Struthio camelus: one gene and its partner. The protein of the gene in region 2 interacts with the protein of the main gene of each other region in a pairwise test. Links are inferred from orthologs where the notes say so. Each region holds a gene or a part of one and is shown on either strand. Other genes may lie near its edges. The genes, in order: CD151 and GRAMD1C.

What was found.
Region 1: the proteins of GRAMD1C (region 2) and CD151 interact in binary tests that used the Homo sapiens proteins (3 or more experiments, as listed by UniProt). The link is inferred for Struthio camelus from reciprocal best matches to the Homo sapiens genes GRAMD1C and CD151.

What each region holds. Positions count from the first base shown.
Region 1 is NC_090946.1:16,210,758-16,226,197, reverse strand, and holds the start of CD151 (CD151 antigen), read right to left. Parts: upstream 8,021-15,440; 5' UTR 7,911-8,020; intron 1-7,910. Other genes in the region: CRACR2B (EF-hand calcium-binding domain-containing protein 4A), read right to left, coding at 13,844-13,928, 14,597-14,673, 15,436-15,440. UniProt on the Homo sapiens protein: Structural component of specialized membrane microdomains known as tetraspanin-enriched microdomains (TERMs), which act as platforms for receptor clustering and signaling.
Region 2 is NC_090942.1:96,524,553-96,539,609, forward strand, and holds the start of GRAMD1C (protein Aster-C), read right to left. Parts: upstream 6,267-15,057; 5' UTR 6,207-6,266; coding exon 6,144-6,206; intron 6,065-6,143; exon of another isoform or gene 5,986-6,064; intron 5,616-5,985; exon of another isoform or gene 4,686-5,615; coding exon of another isoform or gene 4,647-4,685; intron 4,527-4,646; coding exon 4,398-4,526; intron 1-4,397. Other genes in the region: myelin protein P0-like, read left to right, coding at 10,312-10,378. UniProt on the Homo sapiens protein: Cholesterol transporter that mediates non-vesicular transport of cholesterol from the plasma membrane (PM) to the endoplasmic reticulum (ER).

The DNA of each region.
Region 1 (15,440 bases), on a different chromosome or scaffold from region 2:
GGGGCTAGTACTAAAGTAAAGTTTGTGACACCAGCGAAAGCAGAGCTTTCCCCCTGCAACCATGTCTGTCTTTCCCTCCCTCTGGGTTTCTTACAGTACAGTTGTGGGTCAGGGACCAGATTTCCCCAATAACCCGACCAAATCCCTGAGGGCAAACGGCCAGGGAAGTCAACCATGGGGATTTTTTCCTGGTGTAACTACAGTGGTTTAAGCTCACGCTTTACAGGGAGGTGAGCTCTGGGGAGCAGACAATGAACAGAGCAGCCTTTTGGTACGTTCTCCAGAAGCAGCCCAACTTCGAGGCTCAGTGCAGGGGGTGCAGTCTCACGCCCGTCGCAGCACTGGACCTCAGCCACGTGGCTTGTACTCTTTCTCTGCTCGGTAGGAGGGGCGGAACAGCAAACTGGGAGTCAAGGGGGCAGAAAGCAGCCTGATGGTTCCTCCTCCCCAAACACAGAAAGAAGTCCTACCAGGAAATTTGGCCCTCCAAAAACACCCCAAGTTGACAAGGGAGACTAGAGACATAAGGCTGTGGCAAATCTCTTGTCTAATCTCATCTCTGGCAGACCTCTCATCTAAGCCAAGTCTCCTACTCAGCTGGGAGGGCTGCTCTACCCTCCATATAGCAAGGGGATACCAGCACCTAAAGACAGTTTTCAGCTTGTTGGCAGCTGCTCCACTCCTCAGTAAGTTGTACTTCCATATACATTTGGACTCAGTTGTTCTACTCCACAACATGATTAATTGTTTCTGAGCTGAATCCACAAGCACAAAGCCCAACGCTTCCCCATACACATACAGAGTTTAAATTTAAGGAATAAATGACCCAGCTCTTGAGAAGGGACAATTCACCCAGGAGAATTGTAAAGGCTCTTCCTGAAGGCAGCCTTATACACATCATTAGGCTCGCACCTGAGACCAGTTCTTGCTCCAGAGTGGGCCGCTCTGAGGTGGCACCTGCCACATGTGTCTGCGTGCTCGGTTTTCATGCTGCTCCCATTGCACGCATAGCTCTCCGTGAGGTCCATGGGTGCTCTGCATGCAGCTTACGGTGACCAAGAAGCAAATAACAAATCCCCTCTGTTTCCAGGGCAACAGAAGGGGCATATGGGATATGAATTCCTCCCTTCTGCATTCCACCAAAGCTAATAAGAGACACTGACATTCACAAGCCATGACTCACTCCTGCTGCATCCAGCACTCCAGAAGCCCTTGCTCACTAGCTGGCATGCCAGAAACGCAGACATGACTGGCATCTGCAGGCTGCCCCATAAGTGTATAAATTTGATTGAAATCGGCCTTCCTCCATATTTTCTCTAACCTAACAGCGTGATCACAGAGGATCAGAGCACTCCCCGAGAACAAACCACGCAGGCATCGCTGCTGCTGCTCTGGCACATTAGCAGGTCACAGGTCAGTGAGGCCCAAAACATGAACCACTTCACACACAACAGAAATCCCTCCCCCGGAAATTCCTGCCTCTGGCCGCTCTCAGTCTCAGTTTTAAAATGATTTTGTCAGTGAAAGATCCAAACAATCTGTTATTTGTACACTAGCTACGTTTGTGAGAGACCAAATCACCAGCCTGCCAGGTGCAGCACAGAGCTGTGAATCTCAGCCCCTAGGAGCTCAAAATTTAGATACTCAAGACAGAGTCAGGGCAGGCGTTACCAGCCTCATTTTCCATAGCGAAGCGATATACTCCGGCAGAGCCAAAAGCTGAACCAAGACCTAAAGCCTCAAAAATACGTAACATCAGATTTTGTGGTCTGCCACTCCACACAGAGACACATCTCAAGGTTTTAAGGAAGGGATTTAGCCTGCTTTCTAACGAGACCTTTCACTGAAAGCAGTAGGATAAGGATACCAGTGACTACTGCGTTATGGATTTGAACTGAGGGCCTGTGATCCCACTGATGGTATTACTGACGGATCAGAGACTACACTTTGCAAAGCGTTAGTGCCAAGAACAGGCACGTGCATAATCTATCAGTGAGCCAGGCACTAAGAGCTAAAAGCCAGCAGAGCAGTGGAAACACACCCTGCTCTGACATCATCAACACTCAGAAACATCTAGGCACCCACCAACATAATTCAACAGAGTGCTGACTGCATCACAATACATCTGATGTTTTGGCCCCCAAAACCTTCTTTCCTTCTATTAAAAAACTTTTCTGTCCTTCTTTCAAAAAACCTATTTGCAGGTGCCACCAGTAAGCCTCTAAATGACACTGACTTCCTCCTGCCTACAAGAAACGCTCCCATTCTCCCACATAAGGGCAGATATTTTTCCAGAGTGAGGTATTTTCACCTCGCTCATTTGTAAAGTACAGCCAGATCTTTTTCCTACAGCATCTCCAGAATGTGTTTGTTTCCTCTCAGCCTGCCCCAATCCTATGGGGACAGAGACATCTGGGAAGTGCACTGCAGGTTTCAGCCTAACTCCACAGCTTTTTAGGAGTGTGGAGCTTTCACTTTGCAACTACAGATCTAAGCACAGGCACCTAGATGGAGCCTCACAGCTCTTTCCACCGCCCTACCACCTCCCCACCACTCTGTTTATCTCTAGCATAATCAAGAGAGCTGTCCCTTGGAAAGCACACACAAAAGGAAAGAGGACTGGGGCTGGAAGAGTGAACTTTGCTCTTTCTCAATTTAGATCTAGTACAGGCAATAGATAAGGAACAGCAGTCAATGCCAAACACTTTATGTCACCTACTTCTGGCTCAGTTATTCCTTATAAAGCCTCATTACTGCTGCCAGGATCAACCCTTTGAACAACACCCCTTCCTGCACCTCCTTCACTTCTCATTTCCTGCCTTTCTTAAGGATGTTTTGTCTTTGCTCTCCCTGTGCTGCTTCCTACTTCCTTTGCTCTTCCTCAGACACGCTCACCTCTTACATACACACTCAGCAGTGCCCGCGGCAGATGCAAAAAGCAGAAAAACACCATGGATGCAGGCACTATCCTGCCAAAGAGCCCTCTGTTAACCTCCACAGAAAGTAATTCCCGACTGTCCTCCTTTATCCCACTAGAGTGGTATCCTGCTTCCACTATGCCTAGAACTGCTAGCATCAAAAGCATGCACAAAGTACACATACATAGATATATAAAAATAACTTCCATGAAGACCCCAGCTGACATGTGTCACGGCAGCTACCTTTGCTTACATCCCTCTAAGGAGCCAGCTACACTTTCAGTCACATCTCAAGCTTATTTCACTACTACTTGAAATGCAGCTACAGAACTGCACAGCACTTTTACAGCAAGGATGGGAGAATCGTAATCACCCACCAGCAAGAGGAATTTAAGTTAAAAACACAGACACAACCAGTCATACTACAATGTGGCCAAGACCCCAAAACACACCTCTTATTCCGGTATGAAATAGCAGAGGCGCAAAATAGTAACTGTCCTCCTAGTCCCTCTTTTTCTCCCTTAAGTCCCTTACTGTGCAGCAGCCGGGACAGGGGAGTACTAGCACAGATCGGATTCATTCCTCTGCTGCCAGGCTGTGGAGACCACGGGCAGAGGAGTCTGACAGGCAGGAGGCAGCAGGGCCCTGGCAAGAGCTACGCTAGCCAGCAACGCTCCTGTTGTAGTGCTGATACTTGCCAACCGGGTTCAGCGGTGATGAACCCTTTGGCACCATCGGGAAGGACAGTGTGCAATGCTTTTGGCAGACTCATCACAATACCTCATCCGTATGCCGTAGATCAGCTGCTCTTTACCTCACCTGCTGCACTGAGGTTTCCAGCAGGGGAGAGGGGCATTTCTCCCAGACTGAAATGGGGCCACTGTCCTGAGGGGAAGCTCTGCAAAAGCGCACACGCAAAAAGGAATGGGAAAATAGAGCCATTTTACAGTGACCCTATTCACTTCATTTTGGCTTTGTGGTGGCTGCCAGTGCACGCAACTGCACAGGGAAGAAGAAAATCACATTCAGGGTTTGAAAGGAAGGATGAGCAAGTGAGACGGAAGGAGACCTAGTCTTCATCTTCAGGATTTTGGGGGCTTTTAAACAACCACAGTGACCAGGTTTCTGCTCCTCACAGACAGGGAAATTTCAGCCTTTCTCAGCTTCCAGGAGGGTCGCCCCACCTCAGGCCTTCCATAACCTCAGTTGTTGGTGCATGTGCTCAAAGAGCAGCTGGAGATAACCTCGTGTCAAGCCCAGGAGCAGACTTGAGCACAGAATAGAGGTGATGAGTATGAGATGTTCTTTTCATGAGGTTTAAAGAATAAGATCGACAAGATAACTGAGGACAACAGAAGTAGAGTGGGACATAAAATGAAAAAGCTCCCCTTTTTTGCTTTTTCAGGATCAGTCAATTCATCTTTTATCCTTCTGAGCTTCTGTCTTAGTCAGAAGGCAAAAGGAAAACACACAGGGACAAAAGAATTGCTTGACAAGTGATTAAATCACCTAGAAATACCTGACAGGCTAGTTTGCTACATCCAGGTATGCAGGGTGGTAGAAGTGTTTAGTATATTATTTTCTTTCCCTAGGAATCTTTGTGGAGTCCCATAGACACATGTAACACATGCATGTCTCTTCCTTCTATGCACAAGAAGTAGCCCAATGCAGTCCTTAGAGAGGAAGCCAAACTTTGCAGAAGTAGTGAACGTGCCTGGGGCACACCCCAACTAAAGGGCACCCAGCACAAGTCAATCCCTTCAAGGCTGTCTCAAGAGCAAGGGAATTGTTACCTGGCCTGTGTATGTACCTGGGAAACAGTTACAGATTTGAACAACAATTATTATTAGCTGAGGATAACATAATACGCCTCTCAGGAATTCCCTATGGGGGATAGATAGCACTACATCAGCCACCCCCATCTCGCTTTTTTACTTGACAAAGGAATATAAGCAGCTTCTTTCCACCCCCTTGCTGAAGAATCTCTCACACCCATCAGCACAAACTTTAGGAGGCCACACTGAAAATATCCTTTGCAGAGCCAAGGTTTTGACCGCAAGTGCCTTACTGTACTTGAAGAGAAGCAACACTAAACGTACATCAGCGTAGCAGTAGACTAGCAGAGGAGTATGCCAGCACTCACTCAGGCTGGGTGCATTATTTGCAGGCTAGGGGAAGGCGGGGGAGGGGGAGGGTGGGAGAAGAGAGAAATACTGCAAACAAGGAGGGACAAGATGGGCAGTGCCTGGCAAAGGGAGAGCAGGCGCCAGGCTGCACTAGCGGATGTCGCTGCCACAAGTGCTTGCATGCATCAGCAAAGCTGGCGACACTATACAGGGCTATCAGGGCTTGCCAGCCAGCAGGACTGAGGCGAGACGGTCCATCTCTCCTGTGCCATACTTCAGTCTGACAAAACAAGCCGTGCTTTGCTCTTAATAATATCACCTGGCAGCAAAAGAACAAGCAATGCTGTACAGTGCTGCTGCCATTCATCTCACACAATAACAAAACAAGTATCATTGTGGAAAGCCCTGGAAGGCAGGAAACATGGTCATGTTTATCTCAAACGCTGACTTACGGCGAATGACTCTGCCTCAGTTTCCTGCCCGTTCCCACATTGGCATGACACTTCCATACAAAAGGGTTGGGAAGCTTAAGTGTCTGTAAAAAGTCTTTTTAGGTTGGTATGCCTTGCTAACCCAGGGGATTACTTCTATATTAGATCCAAGAGAAGGAGAGCCACAATCTCAACCAGGCTGTCACAGTTTATCTTAGCGCTCTGCTCTCTGCACGGTCCTTAAGAGCAAACCCCCTCCTGTAACAGGCCTGCCTTGAGACAAGAGAAAGTAAACTTACAGTGGCCTGCCTTGAGACAAGAGAAAGTAAACTTACAGTGGCCTGCTACCAGATGCCTATAAAATCTGCAGTTATACTAAGAATTTTAGACTCAAGTTGATGTTAAAGGCTAGTAGACTTCTACAACACCTGCTTTACTATGAATTTAACGGTCTCCTGTCTACTAGCAGCCCTGCTTAGTTAGCAATATTATGTTAGCACTTAATGTTGTCTGTGGTCAGAATCAAGGTCCAAACTTGTTGGATGCTGGGACTTCTCTGAGACAGTTCCTTTTCACTTCAGGCTGCAACATCTCAGAAGAGGAAGGTGTTATGGTCTCTTCACCATGAGCAGTCCTTTTTTGGTCTGAATAATGACAAGTTCAGAGACCCTTCTGTTTTAATAGTACCCAGACGGTATCTTGTCATGCCGAAAGCTTCTCTAACAACCTAGATGATGGCCTCACAGATGGCAAAGAGACACTTTTCAGCATAAGGGACTTGTCTGCAAGCTGTTTAACAAAACAGCTGCTAGTGCAGGTTACCTCTGATGGGTGATGTGTTACCTCTGATGGGTGATGTCATTTTAATTAACCCTTGTGCTAGCAGACAACTTAATATTAACTCTCAGAGCAAGAACTGAAACAGTATAGAGAGAAGGAGGAAGAGAAGTAGGGTAATTTAAAGGATGCTACAAATTAGCCTGAAATAAAGATACATAATTGCTAAAACCCAATAGGCTACTGCAACATGTTGATGGAAAAGCACTAGAGAAGAGTAAGGATTTTTTAAAAACAGTTTCTGCTCTTCATAAGATGACATGGAGCAAGGACTAATGGGAAAGGTGGCAAATGATATTATGCTGCAACAATAACCCATCGCCAGGTCTGATTCAGCTTCCAGAAAGCAAACAAAAGGGAACATAGCCTGGATTTTCCAGCAAACAAGGCCTCTCTCCCCCTCTTCTGCCTCCAACAGTTCTACGAGTACAAAGGCCATGCCTTACTTGAACAAAAAGGAAACATAGTTGAACACAAGACAGAAATAAACAGTTTCACAAGATTAGGGCAACATTCAGAACACCTTTCTAAAGCACAGACTGCACAACGCTTCTGAGCTTTCAGCAATAAATGAAAACACCTTTAGAAAAACGCAAAACCAAAACCTGGGAGGAGTTCTAAAAAGTGCCCTGAGTCTTTCAGGAAGAAAAACAGCCCTGCAACTGAAGGGCCAGAGCTGACCTTCAGTGATCACAGGCAGGTACAGAGAAGCCACCTCACTGCTCCGTACCTCAGCACGCCATTCGGGAGGGAGCAGGGCAGGGGAGAACGTAACAGCGCGGAAAGGAAGCGGACTCTGCAGGTGCACCAAGCACACCCACGGGCAGCCCTTCGCTTCCCCTCTCCCAGGCTGTACCGTTACAGGTGGGCCGATCACACAGCACCTGCCTTCAGCCTCGTCTCCCTGCAGCCCGGCTCCCCGAGCTGCCGGGCCATCCCGGCAGCACCCTCAGAGCCGCACGCGCGCCAGCGACCCTCCGTGGGACGCACCGCAGACACGCTCGGGGCGCGTCAGCGACTGAAGGCAGCGACGCCAGCCCGGGCCGCGCGCCGGGCAGCCGTGGGTCTGCGCCACGCTGGGCAGGCGCGCGCCAGCTCCCAAGCCATCTTCGGACAGGCAACGAAGCGGCACCTACGTGCGGGAGGCAGATGTTATTAGCTGCTATTATTAATTATTATTAAATACCATTAATCGTTGTTATGTTAATTAGTATTTCTGCTCTTTGGTTGGGGGGGGAGGGGGTTCAGTCCGGTTTCAGGTACGAACCAGCCCCGTCCCCACAGCGCGACGCCCTTCCCCTCAGCGCGGTCCGCTAACGGCTGCGGGGGGGGGGGGGGAGCGTGCGCGCCCCCCTAACGGCCGCGGGGAGGGGGGGAGGGGAGCGCGCGCGCCCCCCTAATGGCTGCGGGGAGGGGGGGGCCGCCCGCCCCGCTCCAGCTAACGGCCGCCCGCGCGCGCCCCCCTAACGGCCGCGGGGGGGGGGGAAGGGGAGCGCGCGCACCCCGCTCCCGCTAACGGCCGCGGGGATTGGGGGGGGGGGGGGGCGCCGGCCCCGCCCGCCCCGAGAAGCCGCCATTTCGGGGACGCCCCGTCTCACCCGTGCGCAGCCGGCGGAGCGCTCCGCGCTGCCTCACGCCGCGACCCGCCTTGCTGTGGGGGAGGAAAGCAGCGAAGGAAGGACGGAGGGAGGGAAGGGAGGAAGGAGGGAGGGCGGTGCGACTCGCCCAGCCCTGCCCAGGGGCGGTCCCTCGCCGGGCGGGCACCTCCCTCCATATTGCAACGAGCGCGAGTTTCAGGCTTTCTTTTACGCTTCAGAGCTGCTTGTTAAAAAGAGTTTTCCACGAAACAGCCTGGAAATCAAGCCTTGACCGGCGCATCGCCTCATCCTCCCATTATCTCATTTCAACTTCTGTCCCAATGCCTCCGCGCCGAGAAAACAGCTCCGCGCAGAGACAGGTGGCAGGGGAGGGACCCTGGTTCACTGCCCTTGGTCATGAGGGACCACAGGAGTGGTCTCAACACGCAGTTTTGGGGGGGTGACGGGAAGGAAGAGTTGAGATCTGAGCAGGGAGGGAGGGAAATGAGCAGATTAGGACCCCCTGGGTGTTTGCCTCTCCTGCCCCTCTTCCCAGTCCCGCATCGCTCCGTCCCTCCCTCTCTCACAGGGAGCAAACAGACTAATAAACTGACACCACACTTTTTCTAGGCAAGTCAGCCAAGCCCAAGAAGCCACGTGTGGACTGTGAGGAGAGACTCACTCCACAACAGTTTTGTTGTGCATTATTTAGACATCATCCAGTTTACAGGGAACCAGAGAGGGCACTGGGGCCCCAGAAAGGCTGAGAGAAGGAAGGCTTTCAAAATAATAGCGGCCACGTTAGACCAAAAGCAGTAGAGAAGAGCCTGCTTCACACAGAACTGGAAGGTGCAAGAAAAAAATCCAGGTATGAAGTGAAAACAAGAAGGCACAAAAGTTCCATTTTAAGTATAAGCAGCATTATGAAAGAAAAGGAGCACAAGGGGGAAAGAAAAGCCCACTCCCATCTCCTCAGCCTGCTGGGAACCTAGCTGGGCTTTAGCTTAGAGCCCTTGGAGAGCCAAGCGATTAAACAGAGGTGACTCAGGCAACTAATCACACATAGATGCTTAGAGGTTTGCTCAGATTCTCACAGATAGCATGTGGCAGGGCCAGGAGGCCAAAAATAAGAGAGACATAGGTCCCTACTCTACCCTGCTCTCCTCGGCAGAGCCCGGGGCAGCGGCGCTTGGCTGCCTTCTTCCTGTGTCCAGGGTTCTCACGCACAAACAAGAGAGACCGTAGCTTCCCACTTTGGCAGATCTGGGTCAGCAAACCAGCATGGTCAGACAGCACTGCTGTTCTGTGTGTCATCTGTGGGCCGGGTCGGGAAGGCAGAGGGGAGGTATACCACAAGACCCTGCTCCCCCCAGCATATTACTGGGGTAGCCATGGACCCAGCAGCACGGTCTCATCACGCAGGAAATGGTACTGCCGGGCTTTTCGGCAATGCTTTTGCCCTTTGAATGCGCTCTTTGGTTGCTGCCTGCTCACCTGCCGGAGCCACTGCCACCACCTGTAGAAATGCAACTTGTGTTAACATTTAGATACGTAGCCTTTGCCTTGAAAAAACTGACTCTACCTGGCCAGTTCTACGGGACTAAGAAAAGGCATACAGCTACTCTAGTGTTTGCAGGACCTGGGCCTTATTAAATTGCGTGGCTTAATGAACACATAAAGCATACCTCGCAGGCATGAAGAATCTGGAGTCTGATTATTGTAGTTGTGCAACTGAAGTATGAATGTGACTCATAAGCAGCTAGATAAGTAATAAGCAGAATGACTGGCTCAGAGAGCTAAACAGTTCAAAACTGCACTGCTATAGATCTACTGGAGAAATAAATGGACCAGGAGATATCTTTAATACTCTGTTTGGCTACATAGCATGAACTGAACACAAGGTATGTTTATAATTGGAGCACAGGTGCTCGTTCACTATCTATGGAGTAAGCAATTAATCAAGTCAAAAGTGCATGAAAAGGACATGAACAGAAAGTGGTAATAGGACAGAAAATAATCCAGGAGAGACTGCAGGGTCCCCATAGCAGGACAGGAACGGATTAAATGCATGTAAGTGGAAACTATCCACTGGCGTTCGGGCTGCTGGAATAAAGAAACTCAAGTAGCGCCACAGTGGCCAGCGCATCTGTGTAAGCGGCTGTGTGCTGGCATGCCTTCGGGGTGCCAGCGGTGCCACAGGAACAGGCTGCCCTGGAAGGAGCAGGACATGCTCCCGGAAAGCCCACGAAGAGCCGGATGCATGCACGTAACAGCTGAGGGATGACGCGAGCTTGCGCTGCCCGTGCACCCTGGCTCTGCCGTGCTGCTGCCTGGGCCTCCATCCTGACAGGGAGGTGGGCGAGGTGGGTGTAAAGAGGCTGTGCTGTCTCCAGCGTGCTCAAGTGGAGGCGACTGCAGTAAAGAAAACAGAGAATCAGGATTCTTGTTTATCCTAAGTGAGGCTTTTTCTAGTAACACCAGTAATTCTACTATTTGACAAGCTGGGTATTTTTCCCTCTAATCTCTTATCCATCACAGTTACAGGCAGAAGAGAAGAAACTTCTCAAGCCTTCGGGGTTCCTTGTATTTGTCCTGTGGGAAGGTTTTAAACAACGCTGACTTAATATTCTCTCTGGAATCCCATTTTTGGCCTTTCAAAGAGATGCTGTCAGGCTAATCCTGTTATGCTTATCCCTAACATATTAACATGAAAGAAAACAAGCAAAACTAAAGGCAGAGTGGGTTCCCTTTGCCTCTGTGTGAAGTTTTGGGGGACTCTGGCTGCTTATTAGAGCAGCTGCTTTTTTCTCCTCTGTCCCTGGCTCTGACTGTATACGCAGCTGCACTGTGACATGTGCCAGGACAGATTTCCCAGACTGTAAGAGGAGTGCCTTCTTGTGATACGATTTCAAAGTGCCTTACAAATTATGTGCAAAGAGTCACCTGTCCACCAAGAACTGCAGCCGATACAGTGCAGGAATAAGCCCCTAGGCAGAGTTATTTTTACATCCTGTCCTAGTCTCATACCATCTCAGGATCTCATCATTATCTGCTTTTATTTATTGCTGCTGTTTCCTGCAGTTGCTTGCAGAGGATGGCTGCTCCCAAGGCTCCCATTTGAAAGCAGGAGAGATTCTGACAAAAAACAGAAGGACTTAGAAAAATTAGGAATTTTGTGGAAAGCAGTTCCTAGACAAGTTTGGGTCTGTTATCAGAATGGTTCAAATACCAACAGCATGCCCCTCCATACTGAAAGCGTCTAGGTTTTCCAACAAGAAATTCAAACATTCTGTGGGGAGACAAGGGAAGATCCCTGTCCTGTCCAATGTAACACACACTCTGGTGCTTACTGTTGTCTCAGTGCAACCTGCTCAAACTCTGTGCCACCCCATCACAGCTGAAAGAAAAGTCCACCCTGTCCTTGCTAAAAAAGAAGTTAAAATGAAGTACCTCCTGTACCGGTAGTCAGTTTACAGAAGGGGAAACGAGCGATAATTTCTCTGGTTGAAGATGCAGAGATTAGTTCTGTAACATCCAAACGTATCTAATTCAGCTGGAACTGAGCCATGGCACAAGGATACAGAACAACCATATTCCTAATTCCGGTGAGAAGGGTACATGAGATATTATTAAATATATGTCTAGTTCTAGAAGTACAGACATAAGGTGACAATGTGCCTTCTCTGAAAGCACTACATGGCCCCAAACATTTGGGAAGCCAGTTCTCCTCTCTGCACTGGCTTCCCTGATGAGCCAAACTCCAGCTGCTTTAAAGAGAAAACAACAAAACAGGATGAATTGCTCTTGTGCTGCCCCCAAAACGAGGGTTCCTGATCAGCTTTTATAAACCTCCTGTATGTACCACCAGCAGGGACAGACAAGTGATAACATCCATGGTCCTTCAGAGCCACATTGACTGGAAAACAAGCCAGGTCATCACTGAGCAATCTAAAGATTACAGGTGTTTTCTGAGAACAATAGAGAGGATTTTTCTTGCCAAACATATTTTTTTTTTTGCAAACAAAAGCAGTTCTGGCAGCCTGGCTGGTGCTGTGTATAGCATATACAGCCCTGGTCCCTGCAGGACCTCTTCTAACTTACTGCTTCCTGGTCTTTGAAAAGTGTTCTTGCAATTAAATCCACTAGCTGTTCAACAAGTCTGAAACACAGCCAGTCAGCAGTAAGGACGGACGGGCTTATTATCTTTAACTATTCCTTTTGGTCAGGAATCCTAACTCTTCCAGAGAGAAATTTCCTCTTTCCTATCAGAAGGAAACTACACAGGGAGGAATCATGGAAAATCTTTGTAATGCTGACAGGCTGTAGGTGACTCAAAGCACTCTTCCTGCACGGGATCTTCCCAGAGAAATCTGGGCAACAAACAGACGCTCAGAATTGGAGTCTGAGTAATTGCCTTATCCCAAGAGAGGAAGGACAGTGGATAAATATAGGCGTTCTCTATACCATAAGGCTGAGCAAACAGTTTCATAGCTGCAGTATTCACATCTTGCACCCAAGATTTCAAAGTCACATACAGAAATAGGCTCCAGAATAAAGGGGACAGGGCATCACAAAAAGCTCACTTAGTCCCATAAGCCTTTAGGGTGACTGAGCTACAGCACACAGAAAGCATCACGGCCCAAAGAACAGGGCTTCATGCACAAGCACAGAGGCAGCGGCAGCTATGTAGAGTGTCCCACAGGGTCAGACCAGCTGAGAGGTACTCATGTGGGCCCAGAGACCAGGCAGCCGTTGCTATCTTATCCCTCACTTCCCCATGCTTTGCCCCGCTTCTTGGTGACAAGCGGGACCTTTCCCAATGGGCACAGGTCCAAACTCTGCTCTCGCTCAGACCCTTTGCCAGGAAGCAGGTTATTCCACAAGGTCACTGCAAGGTGATTAGGTACGTTCTACAGCTGGGGCAGCTGCCTTGTGCTTCCACACCAAGCACGTTTGAAAGAATTACAGTCAAGCCAGAAAGGTGGGATCTGGGCATGACCTCTTAGTACTGCAGAGAAGACAGCTCCTAACTGCTGGAGATTTTTCAGGAAAGAGTATGAGAGTGGCAGGAAACAGGCAGCATTCAGCCTTAAAGCAGGCTCTGTATGGCACCCCCGGTAGGTACTGCACAGCTCCTGCAACAGGTGGTTACAGAACAACAGCACGTGTTTTATAAGGCCACCTGCGAGCCCCAGGGCAACTGCTCTGCATTCTGTGAACAGTATGAGAGGACAGCGCCAAGGTCCGACAGGGTAACAAAATGAAGAAAGCCATTGGGATAAATAGTTTACTCGATTGTACTGTATCCACAAATGGAATCAGTTAACTGCAGTGTTAGCAAGTCAAACCAAATTTCCCAGTAAACAGAGGGGGCTGGATCCAGATCCTATGGGAACTGATGGAGCCACTCCCGTTGATCTCAGCAGGCCTTCAGCTGGGCTCTGCAATTACAGAGCCAAGAGGAGATGCTGCTCTTGCAGAGAGATAGGTCACTACCTAGAGTAAGCCTTAATTTAAAATAATCTCTTTATTTCTTACACAATTGAACAATAACATCATCTAATTAAAACAAAGCCCATGATGTCCTCCGCTCTCTGCTGCTAGGCCACATCTTCGCCAGACAGAAAAGGAACAAGACTTCATCATTTTATAGAGAAGCAACCACTACAGAAAGAAGTCCCAATTTGTGCCATTAACCAATACCAGCAGAGTTCCTTCAAAGAAGCAGAGGCCTCCCAGAGATCAGGGCTCTGTGCAACAGTGGGAAATGGAACAGCGCAGACAATATGTACATTTTGTCCTGATTTAGTCCCTTCATATTTCCAGCTGGGGAAAACTTGCACCTTCCCCAAGTCTCTGCAGAGCTGATACCATCAGATTCAGCTTGCTGAAAAGGAGCCCCACCTTCACGCACCAGAGTTGGCATGAGTCTCTCGCTGACTTACTGATGTGCCTTAGGTGCAGCACCCTTTCCTCCTGCTGACATCTTCCAGCTGCAGGGCAGTCTCTCTCTGCCTGTCTTCCTGTGCTGTCAGCAACCTGGAATAAGCCGCACAGATCAAAAACACAACCTGGATACTGAGATCTTCCTGTCAAGGCTTTTTTCTGTGCCCTTGTATCCCCCATCAGCCAGGGCCATCGAGGATGTTGAAAGTGACTGGCCAAAAAGCTGGGCTTGTTTGGACACTGGGTAAACAAATCACACACAGAAAATAAGCATGAATTTGCAGGAGGGCAGGACCAGGGAGAAAGACTTGACATGTACAAGAAGAGACGGCATGGCTGTCAGAGCACCAGACTGGGGCTTGAGTGGTCTATGCTTTATTTCCAAGTTCCCTGACTGATGGCAGGATCCCAGGACGCTCACTTCACCTGACTGGGTCATCCCCTGCAGAGATAGGGCAATAAAGCACACCAAAGGCATGTGCTATGGGAGATGTGATTTACCTAGCTACTAAGTAAATCATCCCAGTTAATAAACAGCTAAGTCCTGCTGTGAATTTAACAAGATGATGCAGCAGGAAAGGAAGCAATATGAGAAAGCAAGAGGACATTTTTGTTACAAAATTTCAAGGATGCTTAATATAGTAGGGAAGAAAAACCATTACAGGTGCATACAGATTTCAAACTGAAAATTCCATCTTAAAATCTGGAATATTATACAAAGCTTTTCTGACTAAATATTCAAATTAAGCCCATTCACTGACCTGGCCATGTGCAGCATGGGCTCCACGATGTTATAGCCAGTCATCACGCTGCACTCGTAGAAGACAGCCTTGTATTCCTGCAGAGAGCAGAGCAAGGAAGGCCCAGTGTCTGCTGCAGGCTCCCCGCACTGTACACCAGCACCCTCGGGAGCCAGCCCTTTCCCCCTGCCCAGCACGCTTGCAGGGGTCACCTCCCTTTGCTGGGAGCAGCTGCTACCACTGTGCCCCCCACTGGTGGCACGGGCGAGACCCCACGTCCTGCTCACCTTCGTGGGAACATGAGGTGGTTTTTCAGCAATGCAGGGCCCAGCTGGAGCATCCCACAGGGAACGCTGGGTATGAAGCAAGGAGCGACACCATTTCCACCCAGGGTACTTGGATTGTCTCACGTTTGTGCTAGAGAGCCCAGCACATGGAACAACTCTGAGACCCTGCCCTCCTTCTCCCACCCAGCAGGTGAGCGGTGAGGCGGCACCGGGCAGGCAAGCACAAGGAGCGAGGGAGGACTGTGCAGAGCATGCATTAGATGGGAAAACAAATGGGAAAATGGCCATGGATGTTTCCCCCAGAAAGGCTGAGCATCACTGTAAGGAGGCACCCAGCCTAAGCAGAAGCACGTGAGCATTCCCCAAGGGCCAGTGTCTGCCACTTGCTGGCCACCTCATCCTCCCTGGTACCAGAGGGACCTTGGCACGCGTTTGCATTGGAGAACGGGTGGGGGTGAGAGAGAAGGTACCATATTCGGAAACGGCTCCGAGTTCAGAAGGGCTCCCCTCCACCCAGGCTGCCCTGCTCACAGCCGCAGGGAGGCCGTAGAGCAGGAGAGCACAGAGTCACACCTTTG
Region 2 (15,057 bases):
AACAAGCTACACTGCTACTCTTTCAGAAGAGTTTCTTCTGAAAGAAGATATCAAGTACGCAATATATAAGATGAAACAACTGAGAGAGGGCCTTAAATACTAGCCTGCCCCAACATAATTTAACAAGCCCAATAATTCATATTCCCAGAGTAAATGCATATTCCCAGTTCATATTCCTCAGAAAAAGGTGGAAGGAGCATTCAAACACCTCTAGATGCAATTGGTATTTTATCTAATGCTCACCCATAGCACTCCTGTGCCCCAAAATATGTCAACTTATATCTGGGTTGTATTATCTTCTACCCATGTGTGTAGAAGATTATACAATGTGTGTATAAGATTATATACATTGCAGATGGATATATATATATCTGAAGGTTTGAGTCATCAGTTCTTCATATGCCTAGCATATACATTCTCACATGCTCCCACAAGTTAGCCCTTTGTGTAAATCAAATCCACATTTTTTGCCATCTTCCAAAATCCTTTTCCATATCTTACACAACCTTATTCATTCTTATATTATTAAAATGAGAGGCCTCAATTCTTTTCACTTTTCTCTGCATTATTTGTTTGGATCCATTGTACTCCTTCACACTGACCAATTCTTTAAACTGCCACTCCATTCAATTTTTTTTTTTTTTTTAAAAGCATCTTTTACTTTCTTTCCAATACTTCCTTGGTATCTCACACTTCCAAACTCTTGAACATAGCTTCCAGAGTTTTCATTAGCATCTTTTCATTTTCCGAGATATCCATTTGATTTCAAGAACTCTTTCCTTGTACCACTTCATGAAGGGAAGGAGTTTTAAATTGTCTTGCTTGCCAGGAGACAAGGTTTCTACTGTAGGCTATTAATTAAAAGAAAAAGTCAGCCTCCAGACAGAATGTCCTCACCTTTGAGGCAAGGATCCTTTTCACTAGCTTCCTCAAATGCCTTTACCTTCTTCATTATACTAGGTGTCACATAAGGTTTTCATAGGTTTCTTCTTCCAAAGATATCAAATCTAATTATATTACAGTATGAAGACTGGAAGGACAAAAAAAATGAACTGAAAATCTTGAAATACAACTTCTAGGTATAACTGTTCAGTTTCACCACACCTTTGATTTTATTAATTTCTAGTTTTAGCATCTGCAAATAGAACAATTTAATCAAAAGTAGATGCAAGCTTCGCTGGTTCCAATAAAGAAGGAAAGCTCCGAGAGCAGGTTTGCAAGCAAGCTTTTCTTCCCCCTCCGTAAAGGGGAAGAAAGTCCAGTTTTATCCAGTTCTAGTGAGAAGGCTTCCAAATAAAACTTAAAAATATCCCCAAAACAACATTTTATAGGATATTCATGAAAAGGACACGTTCAAAGAAACACTGCAAGCAGTACCAAGCCCTGTAAATCTTGTAAAAGCAATTAGTACTACTGATTAAAGAGTTGCTTGCACGAGTAAAGAACAATTATTCATTCTCAAAAATCCTTCAGGAAAGCTGTCAAAAGTATTATCATTTCAGAGATAGCAAAAATTAGACATAGCACAATGAACTGTTTTTCTTTTTTTCTTCCCTGTTCCTTTTTTGCTGCCCTTCACTTCTACACAATCACCCTATTCAGGGAAGAGTTTATATCCCAGAGTCTCCCAGCCCAAGTTCACTGCTAACCATATGCACTCACAGCACTTACTGAGCGTTCACGATACCTGGCCTGACTTTCAGGGGCATGGCACAACTGCCTACTCCCACTCAGATCCGTGAAAAATTGAAGTCAAACCAGTCAGGCTCTAACATCTACATTTTGTTTCCATCATTGGATAAACTTACTTGGTACTTCACAGTACTTCCTTAGAAGAAGCTAGTTCTTGGAGTAGGCCAAACAATATTCAGACATACACAGCCTGTCAAAGCTAACCACCCAGGCAGCAAAGCAGACATCCGGACAAGATCGCAGGCTAGTGTTACTGTTGTAGCAGCTCCTCAGTCATACTGACTTAAGAGCAGGAACGAGCGGAACAAATCCATACCTGCCACAGGACACTAAGATCATCCTTGGTAAATTGTTAGGGACACATGCTTTGTCTATTAGAACAAGCTGCCTTCTGTGTTATCACCTATACATTTATTATGACTCAGTACCTAGGGAATTCTAATGATTTGTCTATATACTCAGCAGCTGCTCAACCATGTAAGTTATTAAAACATATTTTCTGTCTAGAAGAGCAAAGAAAAAAAGTCAGTGACATAACATTTTAATTAGAAAATTCAAAGATTTTAATTTTTGCCTTTAATTTGTGACATTCTGCCTCTTGCTACTGCTACATTCAGTCCCCTTGAGGCTAAGGGAATGTCTCAATACCACAGCTTTCTATAAATAAAAGCATAGACACACTGATATAGGTTTTTAAGATTAATCAATGACATAAGCAGCACAGTTAGCACTTTAAAAGCCACAGCAGTATCTCACAGAAGGCAAGTGTTTACATAATTCCTTTGTTTTAAGTACAAGGTCATATTTACACAACTAGATAAACACGAACGACAAACAAATACTGAGGTTGTTGAAGTACAAGTTACAGGCAGAAGGTAACCTTTTTAATCACACTAGATAACACCTTACATTTTCACAGTAACTTTCACTGCACCAAAGAATCCCAGTCCCTCTAGAAGTTACAGGCATGCATCATTACTGGAAGCAGAAAACAGCACTATGAACACACAATATACCGCACTGTATATGCATGTCAAATACTATCCGAAGAAAATTTTAACCTTAGGCATGCATCTCAGTTCTAAAATTACAGAGTCAATAGCACAGCTAGATCCTACACATTACTCTTCACTGACTTTATTTTAGATGGTAAAATATCCTCCTTGCCTTTCCTTGGCAAGTTCGGCAGACTGCCGGTCCAACAAATGGACCCCAAGATCTAAACAGGTTTCATTTCTCACATGAACTACCCTCTGCATTAATGGTTGTAGATGTACCTTTGAGAGGAAGCCAGTTTACACAGTCTAATTTGGCCTCTAATGAGAGCATAGCTGACAGTTACTATGTCTGTGCAACCTGATTTGCCATCGATTCAGGTACGCAGATGCAGCTGGGCACAGGCTGAACAGCTGTGCCTAGTCTTTGCTACTGCAGGAACACTGGAGAAACAATGAATGATCTAAACGCTCCCTAGCAACGCAATTCTAAGATCTACTGAGATACCTTTGGGCCTCTCCCTTTTTTATTAAGTCCGGGTTACTATTGTTTAGTTTAAAAGTATACAAGCGTTCTGTGGGAAATTTGAGCTAGGACCCAAGATGCAAACTCAACGTTCTGATCATTAAGACATACACTTAGCTTTAACAGGACGGACAAAAAAAGACATAGAAGCTAGATTTATAAATATGGAGTCGGGAAATCTGATTCCATAGTTCTATTCTCAGGACTGCCACTGATTCCCTTTGGCCTTTGCCAAATTACTTATTATATGACTTAATCTTTTGCTTGGTAAGCACAACGAACACACTCTGGTAAGCTCATACGGACAAGGATACGGTAGTCCAGGTTACATTCCTATGCACACACTGAAGCATGCCAATTTACTCTAACGTCACATGATGCAGAACATGAGTCATTTTGTCAAACTCTGAGGAGCAGAGCACTTGATCTTGTAAGAGGTTTGGGTTATCCTGCCTGTGACTGTACATACGAGTGTTCCCAACTCCTATCTAACAGCAGCAACCCATCCACTAACCTAACAGCAAAACACACCCCCTAAGTCTACACTCATAAATATATTTACCTTCTCTCATGGCAATGCAAAGAAAACACCAAAAAGCAGCAGAAGAATATTTAAGACAGCGCTTATTACGATACCCTCCACACTTTGAGTGAGACAACATCCCCGAGAGGAGAAAAGTGAGACCCCTCCTCCCGCTCTTTCTAGTCTCAAAGACTACTCTCTACATAGGAGCCGTGAAGCGTATTTCCTTTTGAGGAAAGCACATAGGCTTGCTTGACCAAAAGCAGACACTAGGAAAGCACATGAGAAGAGCTATCCAACAGTAAGAACCAAAATTCAGCTCTTACTGAGCAAAAGCATCAACAATGACTTCCTAAAGGCATAGAGAGACATTGCATAGGCTAATAAACTACACAAGGAAGTGGGAGACAGGACTAGGTACCTAAGTCAGAAATCCTGCCACTAACTTGATACATGACATCAGGTAAAGAGCTCTGCCCCTCTCTGTCTCAGCTTACGCTTCAGTAAAGCGATAATGATAATTTATCTGCCTCACAACACGGGCAGGGAAGGTGTTATTAATTAATTACTACAAAGCAATTTGAGAACTATGGATGTAAAGCTAGCACACGTACACATACAAAAAAACCCAACAAATTAGAAGAAAGGTAAGACACATTACCCAAAAGCTCCAGTCAGCACTCCAGCTATACTGAGCAGGAACCTGCATTTTCTCTGTGCACGAGCCAAGAGCCTCCTCTGAATCCACAAGTAGCTGGCTAACAAGACCATGATCCACTTCATGAACTTCCTGTGAACAAACAAGCAGGGTATGTAATTTGACAACAGGGAAGAAAGGTGCTGAAATAAGATTACAGTTAATCCATTCACCGACTCTGTGTTAGATGAAAACTTCAACTGCTAGACTCACCAAGGTATATGCCATGGAAATGCTTCTCACTGACGGCATTCCCACTGATTTTACTTTTTTTTTTTTTAATATACATATACAGAGTATACTGTATTTATTATTTACAGAGCATATTACTTGCACAGCAGCATATGAACTTGCACATTGAAACTGCGCAGGCACTTAGAGCTAGAATGGCGTTAACACAAGACATCAGTACATGACACGCAGGACAGCTCTGGAACCTAAGGGACTTTCCAAGAGCTGAGAAAGGTCACGTAGATCTAACACCTGCCAGAAGACTGACATAAGATGTGATGTATACAGACAATATTTATATTAAGTGGCAGCTATACTAAAAACTGTTGTTAGAAAGATACAAGCAACACACATCAGAGGCAAATAGTTCTGTTAGTATCACTTGTTATAAAAACCTTGTCCGCAGCACTTTCCGTTGATAGACACGGATTTATTTCACAGGGCAGATCAGCCTTGCTTTAGGAAGGGAAACGGAGCCGCAGGAAGGGAAAGACATTTCCCCTAAGTCACCCAGCAAAGGGGCAAAACCCTTCCAAGGTCCTGACCAACAACTAACGCTGCCTAACGCGCCAACAGGAGACCAAAAACACGTTTTGAGTTCAGAACGGCATCCAAAAAAAAAAAAAAAAGAAGAAAAAAAAATCGAGTTGAGGCCGACCCCGGTGGGCCAAGGCGCAGAGCACATCCCCAGCGCCCTCCTGGAGCCCGGCCCTGGGGACACCCCAGGGCAGACGCTCTAACCAGGCGCCTCCTCGGCTCAGAGGGCACCAGGGCCAAGGTGGGAAGCAGAGCTGCTCTCGCCTGGCTGGAGGCGTACTCGAGGGTCTGCGGTGGGAGAGAGAGACCGACGCAACGCCTCCCAGGCGCTCTCCCCACACACAGCTGCGGGCCCGCTGCCAACACCCGTTATTTTACCTTTACACCCCCCCCCCTTACCCAGCGCAGCACTCGTCAGCCCCAGGACACCCTCCCCACCCCACTGAGCGGCTCCCCCGCTCCTTCCCGCCCCCCCCGGCGCCACAAGGCCCCGGCGCCGCTCCGGAGGGAGGGGAGGAGGGGGCTGCCCAGCCCGGCGGGCACCGGTCGCCCCCTCCCGCCGCCGCCAGCGCCCAGGCCGGGCCGAGCGCCCCGAGCCGCGGCCCCGCCTCGCTCGCAGAGCCCCCGGCGGCCGCAGAAGCTTCCAGAAACGGGGCGCTGCGGCCGCAGGTTTTTTTTTTTTTGGGGGGGGGGGAGGAAGGAAGGAAAGGACGAAGGGCCTCGCCCCGCTCCTCCCGGGGCGCGCAGGGGAAGGAGCGGCGTTACCCGGCTCCGCGCCACCTACCTGCGCAGCCCGCCGCCGGCCGGCTCGCCCCGGGGGGCGCAGCGCGGCGGCGACGGGCCAGCGGCTGGGGCATGGAGGCGCCCCGGCAGGGTTTGAGGAGAGCGGCGAGGAGGGGGGGGGGGAATGAAACAAGCCCGGAGCGGGTCGGCGGCGCTTACCATGGAGGGGGGCGAGGGCGGCGCGGCACCCGCTAACTGCCTCAGCGGGGCCGCGGCCGCCATTTAAAGGGGCGGGCGGGCGGCGGGCCCGAGGTGAGGCCGCGGCCGGCTGCCGGGGCGGGCGGGCAGGGCAGGGGGGCAGCGGCCGCCCTCGGCTCGGCACGGCAGCACCCCGCGGGGGGAAGTCGGCAAAGAAAATGCCCGGTGTGTCGGGTCCCCGCCGCCCGGAGCGGGTTTTTACGGCCAACAGAGTGAGAAGGCTTCAGCCCAGTTCAGCCCCCGCCTCCGGGCGCGCTCCTGTCTTTCATCTTTCCCTCTTCTTCTGCATGATCCTATTGAAATAAGGGGAAAATGATTTAAAAAAAAAAAAAGGAAAAAAACTCAGCTTCAGTCATTGCTGTTCGTGGCGGTTCAGTGACGCAAAAGGAGCTGATCACAGGCCGTTTTTTTTTTTTTAACAAGTCTCTTAAGGAGCCAGTTCTTCTGAGTAAAAAGTCCTCAGCAAATAAGTGGGGGGGGGGAAGGAGATAGACAAGATCGCGTCCCAATGTCACGACATTACGCAATCCCATCAATCTGACAACGGGGCTGGGGGTGGGGGGGTAGGTGGAAAAGACGTTTCAAACGCTACTGCAGAGAGCCACCTAGAGGGCCAACGCGGGCAACGCCGCCAAACCAGGGTTTTCGGGACACCCCCTTGCTCAGCAGAGCTGCTCTCCCAGGACCTCCTCCAGGTGGGCTCCCGAGCCCCGTCGTGTGCCTGCCATTACCGGGCCAGGAGCTCGGGTTTTACTGCTCTGCCCTCCCTCCCGCCCCAGTGAATGGCTCTACGTGTCCCCACGCAGGGGGGTCAGCACGGGCGCCGGGGCTGCCCCCAGGAAGGGCACGGCAGGGAGCGGGGCTGAGGCCTGCCCTCCGGTCCGGGGTGTCTTCAGAGGTGAGCAACCAAGGGAGTGAGATAAAGGGAACAAGCGGTGCGGGGAGAAAGCAGATTGTTTTTTCACACGCCGTTCCGCTGGATTCTGTAATTAACACATCTACATCTGTCTATCCATCTGTCCATTTATCTATCTATCTATCCATCTGTCTATCTCACACACTTAGCCTGCTTAGAGAGGGAAGGCAAGATTTCCGCCCTCTCCGTTTCAGGGAACTCGTCTGAAGGAACTCAAGCTCTCCGCTGTAAAGCTGCTGAGCTGTGCCAAATGGTTTGTCAGGGGTGTGAGCACCCCAGATTTTGAAAGCTGGGCTTCAAGTTCAACGCCGCCACGTAGCGCCCTTCAAATTAGTGGACCCAGCTGAAACTATGATGGCCTGCGCACTTGTGCCCTCCGGTCATATGAGAGGAAATAAAAGAGCACTGTGACATGACAAGAACATTTCCATCTTGCTCACCCGTTGGTTAGTAGGCAAGGGGCAGGGATAACGGCACTGTGGAGGGAAGGTACGACAGGGAGGGATGCAAAAGGCCTTGGTGGCATGGCAGGTATGGCAGGGCAGGGGACACAGCCGCTCACCTGGAGCATCACTTCTTTTAGCATGGTAAATGCAGTGCCCAGAGCCAAACACCGGGCTACAGAGAGCCAGGGAAGTGTGGCGCTACCGGCGGGAGGAGCAGCTGAGGGTTGGTGCGCTGGGTCAGGGCTGCTTCGGATGGCTGGGGCACTAGGTGCCCGTTCCCCTCCGGCTGCCCAGCCTCCCGCATCGCCCCAGGTCCCGCCGCCCCCCTCTCCCGTCCCCTCGTGTCGGGCTCCCGAGCGCTTCCCCCCACCGGGCCCATCTCCCAGCGCAGCCCTAACCTCGCAGCAGCACTGCTTTCCCCGCCGAGCGTGGAGGCTGTCATCGGACGAGTGGTTTCTCTCGCTGCTGCCCCAGAAAGCGAGTTGAGGCCCTTCCTGAAGGGGAAGCGCTCAGCCTCGCACCGCACCGCTGCATTAGTGAAGGTGACAGAAGTCCCCCGGAGGTCCCCTCGCAGCCCTGGGCCCAGCCACGACAGTTGTAACGCTGACAACTGCAAGTCCTTGCATTTTACAAGAAGGTGCTAAAAAGGATGCACGTTTTATTTCTTTTTTGTTGTTTGCTTTCTTGATTTGGACCGCTGAAATTCAAATTTTTTCAAGCTTTTCTCGACAACACTCAGGGGACAAGATTACTTTTCTTTTTATCCCAAAGGTGAGATTCTCTCTTAATCACACTGTGTTATCCAAATGTGAGGAGCTTCACATTCAAATGATGACTGCTAGCAACACCAAAACCCCTTCGTATTGCCTGGCTTAGAAGCTGGCTGGCCTGACAATTTTGCTCGAGCATGTCCTATTTAATGGAGGATTCACAAAATAATTACTATTACAGGATGAAATGAATATAACCAGCAGCTGCAGGAATAGCTGCAGTTATGGACACATCAGGACACACTTAAGGATTTTTTAGGACAGCACCCAACACTTGATGTTTAAACCAAATACTGTTTGCAACTCCTATGATCTAATACCACCTTCCCATGCTGATTTCTCTGATACGCAGTCATGGCCAGTGACTAAACCATTCTCATTTCGCTTGATCTGCCAAGTACCGTTGACTTGACTGATTATTCGCTCTTCAAAATCTTGATTGTTTTTGACTCCTACAACTCATTTCTTTCATAGATCTCGTCAATATTCCCTTCAGAAGAGCTTCATGATTCACCTTTCAACTTTCTGCTGAAGTGCTGTGCTGCTCTGCTTTTGGTCCCAATTCCCGTCTTCATACATACGGTATTTCTGAGTGATCCCTTCCTGGTAATCCCAGGTATTCCCACACTTCCAACCCATTTAAAACAGGGAAGAAATATTTGCCTTTTATGTTCTTTAGCTGTCCTCCCCTCTCGCCTACCCTACTCTCCGATACAGGTGTCACCACATCAAAGCTAGAGCAACAGATGGTCACTCAAAGAATGTGTTGTGCCTCTTGGTGTCACCTGGTCAGCAGATTTTTGGAAGCCAGACGTGGAATTTCTTGAAATGGTTACTATGGAGCATCCACACACAAAGATGCAAATCACAGAATTAATGAGCAGAGTATTCAAGAAAGCCATACAACGGTAGCATTGTGGCAGTTTTCCTCACGGTGGGTTTTTTTTTTTGGTCCTTTTTACTTCTAAGTACAGGAACAGAAGTAACATGCATGCCTCTCCTAACAGAAATGTGCTTTATTTGTGTTTCAATGGATGTGGAATGGAGTCTTTACTGGATATTAAAGTATAATTTGATTTATCTGAAGGGTTCTGTAAGATAAGCAAAATCATTAGATAAAGCCAGCAGGCTTCTAGAAAAGTCCACCATAATCCCTAATCCCGTATCTGAGGGAAGAGATGTCAGGCAGCTAGCTGGAAAGGGCCGTGCTCGGTACAGCTGTAACACTGCTGGCAGGGCTGGATGTTACAGGCGGGGTTTAGGGCTGCTGGAGCTCTTCCCACCAAGGAGTGTTGTGTCTGTACCTTTGTGTGAACCCCAGCTTTCACCTCTAGAGCACACAAGTTAGTTTTGCAGGTAGGCCATCTGTTTATTTATGTTTTGTCCTTCACCCGGGTGGCATAGACGACCTTTACTTAAATAGAGTTTTAAGTAATCAACTTTTGGTTAATCAGCATTTGTTCTTTGCTGGGAAAAAAACCCACAAAAACTTTGAGGATATATTTTAGGTACGTACACAGGGTGAATATAGCCACAGAGAGTCTGAATTCCCGTAGCTTCCTTTACGGTCCGTACGAATAATAGGAGCCCAGCTGCTCAGAAAATCAAGCCAAGGCTCTTTCTTGTCTCACTTTCTCTAGTGGGGGGTGAGCAGCAGAGAGGTCTTCTCCTGAATACCTGAGTATTCTGTACTCAGCCCAAAGTTCTGGTTTATAGGAGGCCGAAGCGAAAAAGGAACAGATTATCCTCCCTCTGCTCTTAGAGCATTTTCAGCATCTTCATCAGAACAGCCCCTGGGAAGTCATTGTTGTAAGTTAAAATGTGGCTGTCATCCAGGCAGCAAGCAGAGCACTGTGAACTCAAAGCTGCGGTAACTTTAGTAAGTGTGACATTCACTGGGCAGAACGTGAGCTCCTGTTGCAACAACACACGCATACTTTTTTGCCCATACTACTGAAGAGAGAGGGAAAGACAGTGAGGCCATATACTTTAGCGCTATGAGCCAGCATTTTGGAAAGCTCGGTAGGGCTGCAGCGTCTTCACTTCTCTTCTTCTTACTGGTGGGTGAGTACCGAAAAACCTTCCTTAATTTTAAGAAATGTAGCTTATTTCCAGAGCTTGGATTGAGAGGTTCTTTTCTGTTTTTCAAAAAGCCACTTTCCCCTGAGGGCTTCCTCAGGATGCAGGAAAACTATATATCCAGTGCTGTACACTGTATTAAAAGACTGTTTTGTTTGTAGATACATTCCTGTATAGCTAATAAAAATGTTTGTTTGAATTGGATCCCCAGGGTGGAATTTATCTTTCCAGAAAGAGTGTGTTTGCCTGTCTTTTTCAAGAAGAAAGGCTGCGTACCATCATTAGTAGAAGCTTCGTTTCTCTTTCGGTTTTCTGACGTATTAGGAACCAGTTATCCTCACAAGGTAGTTATTCATGTCCATTTGTGAAAGTCTATCTCAGCTCAGGGCAAAAGCCATATAAATAAAGATGATTTATGTACAGTCTTTGATCGCTCAATCATTGACAGTTGGGAGCTGGATAGAGCTTGTAAATCACCCTCAGGGCACAAGCTGAGTGTGAAGTTGAGCTCAAAAGGCATCCAAAAGGTGGTCATTCCAGCATGAGAGGATTTTTTGTGGGTTGGAAGTTGAGTCCTGTTTACTGTCAACCTCTCTTCCATCTACCGAGCATGAACAAAGGGGAGGAGACACAACTGGAAAGATCAAACTTTGCACTGAGCTCCAGCTACCATTTTGGTTCCCCGACGCTGTTGGCAGCTGGCATTACGGGCTGCGCTGGTTTACTCCAGGGACCAAAGAGTAAGTTAGAGCTTCCAGGACTGGGAGAGAGCACATATATATTTTATCCTTTGATTTTTTTCATCCTTACCTCCTCCAGCCTGCTTTGTGTGTTTCTCAGTCACAGCCACAGATATGGCCTTATACAGGAAAGTATCAACCTGCAGATTATTTAAAGGATTGGCCGATGGGTTGGCAGATGCCCTATTAGTACTGTTAAGCGTGGAGCATGTTGGCACGTTGCAGGGAGTCCCAGAGAGCTTTCCCCCCTCATGGCTGAGAACTGGCCTGAACTACTGGCTTTATGTGACAATGACCTATTAGATCATCTAAATGTTTTTCCAGGTCAAGACAAGATCATCCCTGCTGTATTTCTCAGTATTCTTTCTAGCCAGCTTTTAAGTGCTTTCACCAGAAAAACTCATCTTCCTCCCCATTGGGGAACTGAGCCCTACTCCCCACATGACAGGGGACCTGCACATCACTCTACTAATGAAGTAGTTGACATAAAAAGGTCTTTGAAGCAGAGTCAACAAGGCATTTGGCATGGTATACTCCCAGATGCCAATAGGATAAGGGCACTGTGTATTTAAATATCAGTGAAGTAGTATGTTCCAGTTTTGCAACTTCCTCCCCCCCAAAAAGGAACAAAAAAAAGACATATAGAGGCTATGCTATGACCTTCTCAGTGGAACCATCAAACAGAGCGGGCACTAAAACTTTGCATTTTAATTTTCCTAATTAGCTGGAAGTTACATGATATGTATTGAATCAAAGATGTGGGATGACACAGAGACAAGGCCAGTTATTCTATTGTAGGAGGTGGAAATAAAACTCCTGGTGAATAGAGACAACATCAGAGCATATTGTTTCTGCGCTGTTATGTTCTCTATGCCACTAAGTGACTGTGTAAAATGATACATCAGTAATGATACTTTTGCATCATTAAAAGTAATAAAAATCGTAATTGTATTTCTGGGGGTGTGTATTATAAGACTGGAATGCTTATAGTGGAGAAGAAGGGAAAAAAATGACAATTAAATAGAAATTTTGTTGCCTTTCCTTGAAAACAAGCTAGCTGCTTACTACTCTAGCTAAAGCAGCAGTGTCCAGTGAAGATAATGGTCAATGAACAGGGATTTTAAAAGAGTATTCATTACAAAACCTGCTCAAATTCATGCTAACAAATCACCAAATATGTCATATCGGAATATTTGATGCACAGAGACTGTTAGTTGTCAAACTACCTCAACTTTGTCGAGTATTTCAACTACTCTTTGTACTTTGTCAAAGTACCTTGTCAAGCTACTTCAACCTTTATGACTATTGAATACATTATACTGTAATGTAACTGGAAAAGGCAAAGTCTGGACCTCAGTTTCCCCTGAGCAGCTCCAGTGGGCTCATCAGTAAGATTACGTGTGAACCTGAGGTTATTTCATCTGGTGTCTTTAGTTAGGGCTACTCATTTTAGGGGACTGCACATCCAGAACTACAATCGTATTTGGGTCCCTAATTCTCAGGCATCCAATTCCCATGGATCAGGGTTCCGGGTACTAAGCCAAAATTCTGACTTTGAGGCAGTCAGCTGGTGCCATCCCTTCTCCCCTCATCTGTTTGGAATGAACTTGGGGGGTTCCTGTGCACCCCTAAACCCAGGGAATTTGATTAAACTTGGATTTTGCATGAGTTATATAAGATAGGAGACTTCCTGTGACCATTTCTTGCGTTTTCAACGACTCAGGGCTTTGATGGGGCAGAGCTTTCTGAAGCTGATTCTGGGCCGGTTGAAGTGCAGCTGTTGCCTCTCAGCTCCTCCATTCAGGTGTCTGGGCTGAGGTGGGGAGGTTTACAGACCTGGGAAGAAAACTCTAGAAATTTCTCATTGAATAGCGCTTCCCAGACCTTATTCCTTGTTATGTTTTTAGACTGCTGGCTGACACAGCTCCCTCCCATAGGTCTCTGTCGACTGCATGCAGGGACTGGCTTCTACTTTGTCCTCTGTGGGCGCACAGGGAGAAGCGTAGGATAACCAGCTCTCCTCCTTCTATTCTCCCTCATGTTCACGCTGTGACCAACATCCTCGCCTGGCACTGGAAAGTCATTCTTGGCAAAAGGGTGGTGCAAATTGTGACCATCTCAGGAAATCGTTCTGTTTTGGCAAACTGGGGGGTTTCTGATGAAAAAACCTTTTTGTTGAAAAATTGCCAGGTGGTTTGGGTTTTGGTGGTGCTGCATGTGACTTTCTGTGGGCACCTCTCGTGAGCCGTTTTGGAACAGCAGGCATGTAATGTGCTGTGTTCTTGCTAGTTTCATAGCCAGCTTCTACTTCCTAAAGTTTTGCATCCATGGGTTATCTCTTGTCTGATATTTCAATCTTTTTATAAGGCATCTAGAACAACTGGGGCCCTGCTGTCTGTCAGAAATTACCAGTGCTACTCCCATACAAGTCATAAATAATAATAACTATGAATACAACTGTGATTTTGTACAGAAGCATGCCTGGGGGAGCCCTTCAAGTAACTCTCAAACAGATCATCAAGGGTTTTGATTTTCCGTGGCCTTGGGACATTTACCGATGAACATACAGAGGCTATTGTGATTGTAAAGCAGTACCAGACCCAAACAATAGCATTTCACACCCTTAGAAAGGCTATAAAAGGCTCAAGACAATGGAAAATTGAGATCCTCACTGTGAAATGGCCTGGAATCCTTGAGAAGGCACCAACTGGTGTGAAGGGAGGCTACTTTACTTAAAGAAAATGAAACAACAGAAGAAATTTTCCCAAGAATTGGTTTTAACTCCTTCTTGGTGATTGCTGTTGGTTTATTTTTAAGAGTTTGTTTTCCCCTTTTATTGTTCCAGCTGGGGATTTGAGAGAGCAAGTGTTCCTCTCATCTTCTGAGCCTGGGCTTGTTTCCAGAAATGAGATACACTCATACTACCCTTAGCTTGAGGCTGTTTGATACTATGATTAGCAGTTACATCGGAGAAGGCAGCTTTAAATCTCTACTACAAGCATGTTGTCTGTATTTTTGTAACCAAGAGTAGCAGGATAATATGGTTCCTTCACAGAGAATAGATGTCACCCAGTATACTGTCCAGAGTCCTCTTAATTAAAATATGATAGTCAGGCAGTGTCTTCAGGTGCATCTTCTATCTTGCAGCATGTTAGCTGTCAAAATGGAGTCAGCTACTTCATGTGCTGCAAGTTTTCAAACTCTAAGCTGTTGAAAAACAGTTTCAGAACGTGGGCTGCCCAGGCAGACTAGCTTAACTACCTTTCTGCAAGTCAAACAGAAAATCCAGTCCCATCTTTGTACTTTCCAGCTTTATCTGTAAAACAGATGCATAATAGATTTCAGTCAGTGCCTCTCACCACTGTCTACCCTGGGCTCAGCTATAACCATCTCTTCTCCCCTTGCAGAATGCTAACATGCCTTCCCCCAGCCTGCTGATAGCATCTGCTGGGTGTTCAGCCCCTGAAAAAGGAGACTTCTTTCCACAGTTTCAAAATTTTCTATTCTTGCACTGGAATATGCCAAAATTCCTAGGAAGTTCACGAGAGGTTTTGGGATGCAGGCAGTTGCATTAGGATGTACACATATTCACTATACTTGTCAGAACAGAGCCGCCTGTGTGTAGGGGCTCATACATTTTTTGCTTTGCCTTGAAAACAGTTGAGGTAGGAACACTGGGCCTGGAGGCTTGTTGGGGTGGGAAGAAAGAGGAGCAGGGCAGAGTTCCCTGTGGAAATGTGGCTGAATGTACTCTCTAAATTTCACCCAAATCCGTTGGACAATGACAATAATCTGTCTCTAGGGCCAGGAAAGGGCTTATTTATACACGTGAACATAATCTAAGCAGGAATTAGGAAAAAATCCTTGTCATAATAACAGTGACTACCACCAAGTCCTAATTCCAGGAGCCCCTCTTTGCCATGG